2 linked regions of the Caenorhabditis elegans genome follow. The protein of the gene in region 2 purifies or fractionates together with the protein of the main gene of each other region. This does not show direct contact. Each region holds a gene or a part of one and is shown on either strand. Other genes may lie near its edges.

The links.
Region 1: the proteins of elpc-1 (region 2) and eaf-1 fractionate together in Caenorhabditis elegans (co-fractionation; one large-scale study listed by BioGRID). This does not show direct contact.

Annotation. Positions count from the first base shown.
Region 1 is NC_003279.8:4,600,884-4,605,732, reverse strand, and holds eaf-1 (Ell-associated factor Eaf), read right to left. Parts: upstream 2,517-4,849; 5' UTR 2,511-2,516; coding exon 2,396-2,510; intron 2,318-2,395; coding exon 1,677-2,317; 3' UTR 1,537-1,676; downstream 1-1,536. Other genes in the region: C44E4.5 (NudC domain-containing protein 1), read right to left, coding at 1-44; D1007.8 (Nucleic acid-binding, OB-fold protein), read right to left, coding at 456-833, 881-1,066, 1,115-1,330; nrd-1 (CID domain-containing protein), read left to right, coding at 3,094-3,255, 3,325-3,583, 3,630-4,149, 4,219-4,841.
Region 2 is NC_003279.8:5,112,915-5,121,613, forward strand, and holds elpc-1 (Elongator complex protein 1), read right to left. Parts: upstream 5,939-8,699; 5' UTR 5,934-5,938; coding exon 5,879-5,933; intron 5,832-5,878; coding exon 5,746-5,831; intron 5,697-5,745; coding exon 5,637-5,696; intron 5,579-5,636; coding exon 5,367-5,578; intron 5,316-5,366; coding exon 5,081-5,315; intron 5,031-5,080; coding exon 4,742-5,030; intron 4,696-4,741; coding exon 4,348-4,695; intron 4,175-4,347; coding exon 3,831-4,174; intron 3,745-3,830; coding exon 3,099-3,744; intron 2,950-3,098; coding exon 1,864-2,949; intron 1,815-1,863; coding exon 1,645-1,814; intron 1,390-1,644; coding exon 1,285-1,389; 3' UTR 1,208-1,284; downstream 1-1,207. Other genes in the region: Y110A7A.15 (uncharacterized protein), read right to left, coding at 1-103, 218-365, 418-588, 642-754, 806-824; Y110A7A.9 (WD repeat-containing protein 11), read left to right, coding at 6,348-6,406, 6,454-6,565, 6,613-6,772, 6,823-6,999, 7,215-7,399, 7,454-7,648, 7,741-8,065, 8,365-8,668.

The sequences.
Region 1 (4,849 bases), 510 kb from region 2:
GCATCAATCTTGGAATGATCCACAGGAAGATTGATTGATTGCATTTTAGATTTAATTGGTATAGGGGATTGACCAGGCCTGAAACCATTTTTTTTTCGATGAATTACTAAAAAATCAATTTTTTGGTGAAAAATAGAAGTTTCTTAGTTTCATTTTGCTTATTTCAAGCGTTTTTTATTATAAAATGTTCTACCAATTTCTTTCATTAAAATTTAGTTGTAGAATACTGAAATTTCATTAGAAAGAATATTGGGAAAATGGCAATTACCGTGTGCCGCCGACTGAAGATATGAAAAAAGGTTTAAAACCTTTAAGGGAACATATTAGAAATTGAAATTATTTAAAAAAAAAGAAATAAAAGTTTATAAAACAGATTGTGGAATGAAAGACAAGGCAAGATGTCTATAAGTGAAAATTGAACACGATAAAATAAAATTAAGCTGAATATTATAAATTCAGGCGTTTTCGAAGGAATCATATTCTGGTTCCGGCTCCTCTTTTGGCTTCTCCTTTCGAGCCATTGGCACAAGGCTCACTGGTCCTTTATCAAATGAATCTTCCTCATCATCTTCTTCTTCTTCCTCCTCATCCTCTTCATCCGAATCATCACTGCTATCCTCAGATACATCTGATTCTTCTTTAACAAGTCCACTTGTCGATATTCCTGCTGCCAATTGTTCAATTTCCGTTGGCCACACTCCCATATTATTTTCGCAAGAAGATGATTGTTCCAGCATTCCCATTGGGAACCGATTCAAACTTCCCACTTTGTTCTTCAAACCGAAACGAGTAGGAACATTGGTGCTGGCGCCTGCTGGCAAGATAGGTGTGTGCTGGAAAATGGGCAATTATTGGCTTTTAAAAATTCACTGAAACTTGCCTTTTTATAGAACTTCTCTGAAAAACGGCAGATTATTTGAAAAGCGGCGAATTGTTCATCTGAAGCTTTGTGCATCGAAAATGCGTTCAAAAACTTCTTTCCATTCTCCAAAATTCGAACTTTTCCGAATACTTCAACACGGTCCCCGACGTTGAACTTCTTGGCAGATTCTTCGGTGAAAGAAGCCTGAAATTAATACTTTTTTCCAATGTTACACGATATATTCAGACTAACGGTGAGGATTTTTTGAACCAAAATATTATGATTATCTTTATCAGTAATCATGTATTCTACATCAGAATCTCCGAACTTCACAGATTCGATTACACCCATCACTTGAACGCGAACAACGTCTGCCGTTCCGTACTCGATTCGTTCTTTTGTTGAATTGAATAGCGCTGAAATCGGCATTGGGACGGCATGTTCTGGAATATACCGGTGAGTTTCCATCTGAAATCATGAACAATATGTGAGAAAAACACAGAAATTTGAAGATAAAATCGACGTCTACAAACGACACTGTTTAGCGCAAGAAGCATGCTCTATTGATAAAATGGTTTCAGCGAATTTTAAAAATTTCAGAGAAACTTTAGTTCGACTTTAAAATAGTGCACGGATTAAACAGAAAACCTGAAAAAATAAAACTGTTGAATAGCCTGAATGAAAAAATTTATGATTGCGATAGATAGCCCGGTTTTGAAATAAATAAAAAATCACAGAAGCAAATAACTGCCACCACTAGTACAAGTACACAAGAAAGACGGTTGAATACACTGAATAATATTATGTTTTAAAATTAGTCATCTTCGTCGGAGCTTTCGCTAAGTGCCAATCCATACTTCTCCTCAGAATCTTTGTTTTTATTTCCACTACTTGATATATAGGGAGCCACGTGGCTTTCTTTGTGATTGTAGGTATTTGAAGACGAAGGCGGTGCGGGTTCTCTTTCTGTATATGGTTTGGGCTTTTTCATTTCTTCCAATAATATCTTCTCGCTCTCATCTTCATCATCACTGGAATCGCCATTCGATTTGTCGGAATCAGATGATCCATCAGAATCACTACTCGAATCTGATGTATCTCTCTGCATTTGTTTCTGAATTTTCGCTTTCTCCTCCGGTGAAGATGGTCCAGATCGCTGATTATTAGAAGAAGTTCTCAATCTTTCGATTCCACGTTTCAATGCGAGTTCTGTTCCTTGATCTAGATCTCTCGTCTTTTTTACATTAATATTGCTCGTAATTTTCTCCAAGCGAACTGTGTTGGTCTTTTTGTCGAAGAACAGAAGACATTCTTTCGGTTTTGCTTCTTTTTTCGATCCTTTATATACAGTCATATTGTCTCCTTCGCTTGGTACAGAGACATGTACATCACCGCTGTTCCCAAACGCTATGAAGGTGTCGGCATTGTTTGATACAGAGCTTGGCTTGAAATCGTCTGTAAATTTTAGCTATTTCGATTTTATATTTTTAAATTTCTGATATATTTAATCTTAAAATTGTGCAGTTAACCTACATCTTAGCGTGTGAAATTGCTCTGCCTTAGGGTCACTTTTCCGTCCTTTTACTTCAAATGACTTCCCGAGGGTCAAGGTGTAAGTACCATTCGGAATATCACTTGACTCTGCCATGTGAAACTGAAAAAATGATTATTATTAAATCATATGTGAATATTTTGAATTTTTTAATTTGAAAAAAAAATCGATAATTTTATTATATATTACAATGAAATTCTTCAGAATAGTGCCAATTGTGTGCGCGAGAGTACCATTAGCTGTGGGCGGAGTCTTCGGTTGGCAAGCCTGGCACGCCGTTTTGCAAGTGTGCGGCACAGTGTTGACCTCGGCGCTTTACCATTTTTATGCCGGCTTTCTTTCCTATTTTCATTCAAAACGCTATAATTAGATGAATTTGTACATAAATTATTAAATTATATTCAACTACTGAAAAAGTATCAAAATCATGAAAAAACTTAGTGGGAAAATAGTTTACATTGGATTTTAAACCGTCGACATATCGCATTTATCGATTTTTCAAAAATAAGCGTTTGGAATATTTGCTATTCGTTAAAATTAGCACATCCACCTTTACTCTTAATTCTGCAATTGTATCTTTCCACTATTCCTTTTATTCAGTTTATTTTCTCGCTTCGCATTATCGATTTTAATTTGAATTGGCTTTTTTCAGAACAAAACTCTCATCAGTGGGATCACCATGGAGACGGAAGTGATGAAATCGTTTAATAATGAATTGTCGTCACTATTCGACTCGAAAAACATGAGCAAGAACAAGATTCAGGATATAACAAAGGCTGCGATCAAAGCAAAAAGCCAATATAAGCATGTGGTTTTTTCAGTTGAAAAACTTATCAATAAGGTTAGAATGATTTCGAGAAATCGAAATTTAAATTAAATAATTTATTTATTTTTATTAATGATTTTTCAGTGCAAGCCAGATCAACGTCTAAATGTGCTCTATGTAATCGATTCAATAGTCCGTGCTTCAAAACATCAACTTAAAGAAAAAGACACATTTGGCCCACGGTTTATGAAGCAGTTTGACAAGTTTTTGATGCCGCTGTTAAAGTGTGGACAGAAAGAGAAAATGAGAACAGTTAGAACTCTTAATTTGTGGATGTCCAATAAAGTTTTCAAGGAATCAGAGATTCAACCACTGAGAGAGATGTGCAAGGCTTCTGGATTAAGTAAGTAATTATGGTGGAGAATTCAAAAAAAAAGTTTGATTTTTAGCTATCGATTTCGAGGAAGTTGAGCTCGCCGTGAAGGGAAAACAGGCTGATATGAGCATTTATTCCGGAGTTTACAAGAAAAAGCCAAAAAGGTCTTCATCATCGTCTCAACCGAAATCTCGTACTCCTACAAATCCACATCCGGATGATGGACTTCTCGGTGCTGGACCATCATCTGCTCTGAGATCTGTCCCAGATATTCCGAACTTTGTGCTTTCTGAAGATTACTTCCTTGGAACTATTTCTGAGAGAGAAATGTTGGAATTGGTTCAGAAGTTCGGCATAGATCGCAGTGGAGTTTTAAGTAAGGACAAGAATCTTCTCCAGAGAGCACTTCAAATATTCGCTGGATCCTTGAGTCAAAAAGTAGAAGAAGTTCTAGCGGAGAATAATCGGATTAATGGAAGTAGTATACAGAATGTGTTAACAAAAGATTTTGAATACTCGGATGATGAAGAAGAGAAGGAAAAGGAACCACAACCAGAGAAACAGAAAAATCTGCCACATGCTCAAGTCCTGTTGTGAGTTTTTGATGCATTTTATTTTTTTCTTAATTCCAGAATGTTTCTAATTTTTTTTTCAAATTCTAGATTGGCTCAAAGTTTGCTTACTCAACCTCAAATACTCGCAAAACTCGCTGAAGTCTTGATACCTCAAGGAAATCCATTTGGTCTTCCGTTCCCAGGCGAACATATTGTTCCAACATCGTCAGCAGCTTTAACATTGGGAGCTCCACCACCAAATCTGATGGCTCTTCAACAATCTCTGCCGCCAGGTTTTCCAAATCAACAGCTCGGACTTCCAAATCTCTCAGGCCTCAACCAAGCCCAACTGATGAATGTTCAAAATGCTCAGAATATGCTCCAACTGCAACAACGTGCTGCTCAACTTCAAGCTCTACAAGGAAATCCAAATGCTCAGCGAAATCTTCTTATGCTTGGAAATCCATTGCTTAATCCATTTGCTCTTCAACATGGTGTTAATCCAATGTTAAATGACCTCCAAGCCGCCGCAGCAGCTCAACAGCAAGCAATGTTGAATGAAGCCGCACAGAGTCCAGAGAAAAAAATATTGGAATTAAGTGGTGGAAATAGTGGAATTAACAATAGTGGAGATGTGGAACGAGCTCGATTAAGGGAAAAAGAGAAGGAAAGAGAGAGCAAAGAGAGAAGAAGAATGGGATTGCCACCTGTTAGAATTGGATTTACTATTAGTATGTTT
Region 2 (8,699 bases):
CAATCATTACGGATCTCGTCGTAGGCAACTCCCAATGGATATCCGAGGGGTTCATTTTTGAGTAGATCCGGCGCAGGAAACGTTTTATTTCTCATCATCAAATCTGCAATGTATTTCGGTCAATAATTTTCGATTGGAAAGTGGAGTCTATCTCCAGCAGTGATTTTAAAAATAGCTTAAAATCTTGCCGGGACATCAACACCCCGCAACAACTCACATCCACCATCTTCCGATATGAACGAGATATAATCAACGTTTGTAGTGTTTGGACTCGCTTTTAGCATCGATCTATTCGCAATTTGTTGGTTCCCGCCATTGCTGGTAGTTGGGCTACTAATTTGGACGCAGGAGAATGAAATCGAAAGCTGAAAATAACATTTATTTAATGAAAATTTCAAAAATATATGAACGACTCACATCCTGTTCCTTGAACGTGACACGAGTGACTTTATTACTGGGAAGGATAGGTTTCTTTTCTCTTTCCTTCGCTTGTCGATCTTTTTCTCGTTTCACCTCTTCGATCTTTTGCTGCTCGATGTTGAATGCAATAGCGTTACCAAGTTTTCTCTCGATTATTTTGCAATCGTACTGAAAAGTAGAAAATGATCCAAAAATAATATTCTGATTAATAAGTTCCGTACAGCTTTTTTTACGACGACGAGCTGCTTTTCATCAAGTCTGACACGACCTCTAGGTTCTTCAATTATTTGGTGAAGGACATTAGTCAATTCAGCAAGCTCCGAAGGATCGAGATCTGAAATAGGTGTTGCTTGTTACCGAAATTTTTTATTAATTAATTACGTACCATCCACCTTTTTGCTCATATTGTGAAGCTGTGCTGAAAATCATTGAATGTTTTCATAAATATTTAACAAATTATGGAAAAAAGGAGAAGGATCAAAGTTCATTTAAATTTAAAAAACACGATTTATTTAGCGGGAAATTTAGGCAAAAATTACAAAAAAAGTAAATAATTGCCAACGCATTTTGTCACTTTGATGTGCAGGTTTCGGGAATACTGTAGTCGAAGAGACATTCGCGCGCGAAGAATTAATTTCAGGAAGCCTAGAAATGCATTATTTAAAATTTTTATTTTACCAAAAAAAATGTCTTTCAATTTCTTTGAATAATTTAAATAAAATTTACAGAACATTTTCTTCCATATTTCCTTTGCTGAGAAAATTTAAACTATGAAGTTGAACAATTTTGTGAATAAAAACTTTAGTTACCAATAACAAGAGAACGGTTAACAACAGAACAATACAAGAAAACAAAATCAACAATTTATGGGAAAACTGAAGCAAATGAAGATGTAGGAGCGACAAGTTCAGGTTCAAGCCGGAATATGGGAGGCATTGGGATAGGCGACGGCTCTTGGTTTGGGTCAAACTGAAAATTTACACAATTAGTATTATCAAAATATTTAAACTGACATGTGAAACGTGGATTTTTTTATTTTGTTTTTTATTTAAGCTCCTCGAGGAGCTCCTCCCATTCCTGACCTTTCGTTGAAATTTTAATTTATTAGTTTATTTTTAAAAAATGGGAGGAGCTTAAATAAAAAACAAAATAAAAAATAAGCCACGTTTCACATGTCAGTTTATATATTTTGATAATATTTTTTAGCGTTTCAAATTTAATTACCAGTGCATGAAGTGGTCCTGGAAGATGCTGAACCGACAGGCTTTCAGGCCAGATTGCAGCTTTGCTTTTCTGAAGCTTCGTGGCAAATTCATCATAAGCGCTTCTCAATTTAAGAGATTCTGGGAAGTTTCCAACTGTTATCAAAACTAGAATCAATTGGGATAGCTCATCTGAAAATATGTCACAATATATTAAAATTCCAGGGAAAGCAAAACTCACTTCCAATATTCTCTAACCATCGATAATTCTCCGAAAGCACGTTGAGCAATGCTGAATCTTCGTATTCACCACCTTCTTTCAGTGAACTTTTTTTCTTTTCAATTTGCTTCCGCCTTCTAACAGTCGACGCCATCGAAACTTTCGATGATCCTGATCTTGAACTTATACTGGAAATAACTGAAATATCATCTCTCAAATCGTCAACTTCTCCAGCTGCAAACTGTTCAACTCTCTTCAACTTGTTCTCTCGAACTACAGCCAATCTCTTTTTGTAGTTCTCGAATTCAGTTTTTCTTCGTTCTAAATCCATCAAAACTTGATCATTTCTGCTCAATGCAGCCTTTTTCAGCGCTTCCTCTTTTCCTACTTCAACTTCTCGACTCGCGTCTAACCATTCAAACGCATCACAGAGAACATGTACAATTTGAGTGCTCGACGAACCGGCCAATTTCAGAGCCTTCGCCAATTCCTTCGGCTGTCGTGCTTCTCGAAGAGTTGTACTCATTTTAATTGCATGAATCTTCAACTTTCCAGCATCAACTGCAAGTCGACGAGCTGATGCGGCAAGACCATCAACATCTCGTGACATTTCCCAGCATTTCAGAGTTTTCTCCGAGTTTCCAGAAAGTTCGTAAAACAACGCAGCTTCTCTCCAATGAACTTTTCGTTCCAATTCAGCAGCGTACAGCTCACAACATTGCTTATATCTTCGATCTCCTGGCTTAACAAGGGTCAGTGCATCTTGATATAGTTTTTCCCTTTGAATTATATCTTCAATATCATTCCACCATGTCTCTTCTGAACCTCTTTCTTTACTTGAATCCAACAGAAACAATGAGGAAACTGCATCAATCCAAGCTTCTCGTACAACATTAATACGGTATTGTCGTTCAAGTGTGCACATAACTCGATTAAGCTTGTTTAGAACTGGTAGATATTCTTTTGGATCGTAATTTGAAGCTTCTGCAACTTGCTGAGCAAGCTTCAAATCGTATGTGGATAGAGCACAGTTGAAGAGCTCTTTAGCCGGCACAAAGAATGAGATGTGATGTAGACTGTTTCGAGTGAAGACATCCTTACGATCAGCTGAAAAAAAAGTTCGTTCTTCAAGATTTGCAAAATTTCAGTCTAAAACAAGGGTGTCGGTTTTCAATTTGGGTTCTTAAACCTTTTATTTGCTAATTTTCTAATTTTTTTTTTTGATTTTTCGATGACGCCCGTGGTCTAAAACCTACCAATTTTCTCAACATGCTCTTGAACTTCTTTCAAACAATCGTTAACTTTCGATGGTTTCGATCGTAACAGAGCAGTAAGCAACAGTGGGAACATCTTTGTCTTTTCTGCATCCGACAAATCTCTGACATATCGTGCAACTGTCATACAGAGAGATGATCCTGCATCCTCGAAAACTTCAGTACAACTGATAAGAAGTTGTTCAAGGAATTGTGAATCATTTGAAGTTTTCAACCAAATTGGTATGTCATCTTCCAAATCGTCTCCCTTATATTTCATCGCAAATGACATGTCAACTCTGTGTTTTTTCATCCACTTGAATGAGGCAATGTATTCTTTTCGATCGAGCAAGTCACGAGTGTGAGCCATAACATAGCGACGTGGTTGAATAGTTTCCAAATTTCCGCGAGCAGCTTGTAGGATAACATTCGCTGATTGAGAATCACATGCAACAAGTTCACAGCCTGCTTCAACGTTACGAACGTCTTCTAAAGTTTTGCCTGATTCAGCATCAATGAATCTCAGTTTATTATCGAAATCGATCAGAAGAATATCGGAGCCTCGAGTTAAAATTGAAATAGCGTCTTGGGAAACACGCTCCGAATCGAGGAAAAGCATCGAGTTGTCCACTTGAATCACGTGATGGTTCTAAAAAAATCTTATTCATAAATATCATCTAACGTGAGTCTCAAGAAATCAAAAAACTTGAATTTTACCAATATTCCGTGACAAACCTGTATAAAATGCACTTCGGTAGACTCGAACTTGTCAATTTTGAACAATTCTTCTTTTGTATTCAAGTCAATAAACTTTCCATCGTTTGATGCAATTTCAACGTGCTTGTTTGAGGGATTTACTCCAATCCACCCAATATTTTCTCCTTCGAAGATTTTTTCTGGATTAGCACCAACTCGACTGATTTGATGTTTTCCGTGGCTAACGTTCCAAATAATGTATGATTCTGATGGCTCATCGTACACAAATCCACAGATAATCCCTTCCGTAACCTCAGTGTGTAGTACTTCATCAATTGAAGCACGGTCGCTGTTGAATTTGTATCCATCTGTGTCTTGGCTGACTGCAAAACAAGCAAAATAAGTTTTATGTGAAGGGACTTTTAAAATTTCTAAAATATATTTTTTTCTAAAAAATGGATTACTGTAGTTTCTCTTTTTTTTTTTGAAAAATAGCTTGAAATTTTCATAATTTTGTGGTCGAAAATTGTTTCGATGACACCCTTGATCACCATACATGAAATGATTTTCCAATCCGATGTGATAACATGAACGTGATGAGTTGACGTTGTATAAGCGACAATATCAGATAGACATTGAATTGAATAATCACACATTGGTGGAGGCACAACTCTCCGACACAATGAATACATCCGAAGTTCATCAGTTGCAACGACAACGTTTTGTGATATAACGTCAGAGAATGAAGCAGTAGGTGTGATATGAACTGAGAAGAATTGACCAGATTCCAGAAGAACTTCAATATTTTGGCATTCTACAGTACTCCACTTCCAAATTATTGATTCCGAGAACTTCCAATAACATTTTCTGGTAAATTCGTAATTGGAGAGATGCCAGAATTCAACTGAAAAGTTTTTATTTTTTATTTAGGAGCTTTGCAAAACTCTTACGTTGATGCTTCTTTCCCAGAGAAGTCTGCATTGACAGAATGGTTCCAGTGGAATTCCATTCAATTTTCTCGATAATTCTTCTATCTTCAATCTGGTTTGCCGGCCATTTGACGACATAGCTATTTCTTGTTTCACCATTTCTTTCATAGATTACAATTCGATCATCGGAGCCGTTCTCCTGGATAGCTGAACACAAAAGATTCGCATTTGGCTTGTGTGCAAAGCAATGGGAGAGGTAGATATTTCGAATGTTCATGTTGTTCAGAATTTCTCCATTTCTATCGAAAACCTAAAAAAAAGGTATTATATTACTTGGAAAATTTTGATCTCCCAACTTACCGTTAAATTTCGTGTGTCATTTTGACTTGAATAGAAGGAAACGGCGACAATTTCACCGTCCCATCTCCAATGCACTGACGTTTTTCTTGAATGTTGCTCGATTTGTTCCTTTTCTTTTTCTATTTTCTCTCCTGGCTTAAGTTTGCCGGCGGATCCTCTGAATTGTGTGCTCTCAGAGCCCCAACCAACATTAACTGGTGCAGATTTTCTTTCATTTTCCGAGAAGATGAGTGGTCTGAAATTAAAATTATAATTGTATTGTTCATCTCAATTTAAATTTAGATACCTTTCTGCAAAAGGAACAAGAGAAGAATCTGCAAGATAAAGGGTTTGATTATCAGCAAGAGCAAGTGTTTGCTCATCGGCGGTCCATTCGGCTGCTGAAACAGTTGTGTCGGTCAGTTCGGCTATTTCTAGATCCATTACTTCCCCATCTTCAACGATCAAAGCACGTCCGTCAGCAAGTATCACCACTATTTGATTTCCATCGGTTCGAAACTGAAAAAATTAACTTTAGATTTTAGATATATTTAAATTTCAAAAATGAATTCCCTACCGACAAGGAAATCACTTCCAATTCACGGCGTTGCTCGGCCCATTTGATTGTGCTGCTGATCTGCAAAATTTCGCAACATTTTGTCACAAAAATATTTCAAAAGTCTCACCAAATTGTTTTCTAGCAGCAAAAGCTCATTTTTCGTTGAAACAGCAATCGTTTGAAGAATGGGATGAACTGCGAAATCGTCCGCACCTGGAACGCACTAAGTTTTACCTTTAAACTATTTTAATTGTTTTTACCTGCGATCTCTGGATTTTCAAAAGTTTTTACACTTCCAATCTGTAGGTTTTTCATATTTTCTGCAAGAAAATGGTTTGGTACAGTGAGAAAAAAGCGGAAAACTGTTAAGAAACTTTTTTAGTTAAAAAAAATCAAGATGGCCTAGAATTTCAACTGCGGACTAGTTCATCAGAAAACTAGGCCATTTTTTCACAATTGTCAATTTCTCCATTTTTTAAACAATTGTTTGCCCATGGCAACTTTCTGTTCAATTCGAACAGCTAAAGACAATTTTTTAGTTTTTTCCTCATTATTTCAATCAAAAAAACATTACATTTTTATCTCTCGTTGTCTTTTTCTTGCACTCTCTAACAGTCTCCACAGGTTACTGCCCTTTCCAAATCGAGTATTGCTCTGCAAACAAACCAACTCTTATCGATTTATTTGCAGCCTCATCGTGTCGTCAACCGGGTTTTATGATATTCTAAAATGCCACATACCGTACCTGGATGCCTTCATCCGAGCAATGGAAGGAATGCAATCGACTGGTTGCTTTTTCAAATAATTTTTCGTATAAAAAAAGTTTAATTTTTAGGAATGATGGGGGTCTCATTGCTTATGGATCTCATAATTTGATTTTCGTAGTTGATGTGATGCAATACAAAAGGATACAATCCATCGAGCATCATCAATCTGCCATTAATATTGTGAGTTTTCATGTTAACTTAATAAATGAAATTTAATTATTTTTCAGATCCGGTGGTCTCCAGCTCGATCGCCTTTTGCTGATTTATCACCATCATCTTTACAACCAATAATTGCATCCTCTGATATTAGTGGACATATTATAATTTCTAATTCAGTAACTGCAGCACAAATTAATAAATTCTCTCATCCAAACAGCTCTGTTCTCCGTAAGTTTTCATATTTTTCTTCAAATAAATTTAATTTTGAAAGGTTTCAGAAATGTTCTGGTATCCATGGAAAGACATTTCTCGAGATTTCCTTCTAGTTCTTCATTCATCCAGTACAGTTGTTCTATGGAATACGGTGACTGGAGAAAAAGTCTGGAATCATACATATTCCCATGTTCCACTTTTTGATTTTACAGTCGATCCATTTTCATTGAGAAATGTGATATGTAAGTTTTTGTTTTAATATTGAAAATAAGCTTTAAATATAATTTTTAAAATCAAAAATAAACCAACCTGTTTACGGATTTTTTGGTTTTTTTGTTGTTGCAAAATCTAAGACTTCAACTAAAATTATGATCCAATTTAAAAAATAGCCTAATGAAAAAATAATTAAAAATATTAAAATATTCGAAAAGAAACTTAAATAATCAGTAAATTTCAGTCAGCAGTTCTGGAAACAAAGTACTCGTGTGCTCCGACATTGCTCTCTCGGAGCCTGCTTCCTCTGGACATTTATTTCAAATAACTTCAGAAGACAATTCAACAACTTCCACTAACACTAATATTTACCTCATCACATATCACAAAGCATATCGAAATACGGTTTTTATTGCAATTAATTCTGGTGTAAGTTGCCATTTCTAATATAAATAATTAAATAATCAATTTTCTCATTTTCAGCTCTACCTAGTCAATCCTGAATTAATGTGTTGTCTTGCTCGTGTTCCCATCGAATCAAATATTGTATCTTGGATGCCAACCGGTCGACGAGATGCTTTGTTCGCTGTGCATTCGAATGGAGCAACCACTTTTCGAGTTACAAAATTTGAGCCAACCGAGGAGAAAAAGCCGAACGCCAGTTTTTCGATGGATAAGGTAATGAGGATTTCAGCGTTTAGACATTTTTAGATTTAAAATTTGAAAAAAAATCACCAAAAAACTTCTTATAAACCATATTTTTCTCTCAGGTCTGTCAAACAGAATGCGTGCGTCCAATGAACAATCAGCGAATCGTAGCAGCTGCACTGTGTCCAACCACTCAATCAACCGTCTCTGTACTCTATCAAAGTGGAAAACTTGCATTCTGGCAACTTAGCAACGGACGTCTACCACTTTTGTATAGATCAAGCTTCATTGAGGATGTTCTTGAGTTCAACGACAATCTATCAACGAAGTCAATTGGGGAACTAAGTCTACATCAGCTTAGTCAAATGGGATCATTGTCTTCTGGTGTAACTTGTGTTCGAATGAGACCTATGGATGAGCTAACGAAAGTTGAAAATGATCCTTTTGGTATGGAAAAATGTTTAAATTTTAAAAGATCGAATTTGAGAAACTTCCAAAATACTCAAAAATTGCGTCAAGAAATTATGTTTTCTATTACCATTTGACTGAAATAAAAATTGAATTTTTTATGTTAAAAAATTATTATAACAAAAACCTTTTGACAACCAACAAAAATTAGTTTTTAACCAAATTTTCATAAAAAGTAATTGTCTTCGTACACTGTACACTAAACTTCGCAAAATCCGAAAAAAAACCCTTAAATTTTTTTTTTAACTTTTCGAAAATTATAAAACAAATTTTTTCAGCAAACACAGCTCTCGGAACCCTTCATCTCGCAGCTGTCGGAACAAATTCTGGAACAGTTCATTTGGTCGACGTTTTCACTTCTCAAATCTATCGTGATTTTTGTGTTCAACCATCTCTTGTTAAATGCCTTGAATGGGGCGGTGTTTATTCTCTTGTTACTGCTGGATATAATCATTCTTTAAGTGCATCACAAATTGTTCGAAATGATGTTTTTATCACTGATATTCGAACAGGTTTAGCCAAAAGAATTCGACCGGAAACTGATGAAAGTCCGATCACTATTATCCGAGTTTCATATTATCAGTAAGTTCTTCTCTATTTCAGTACCGTAATC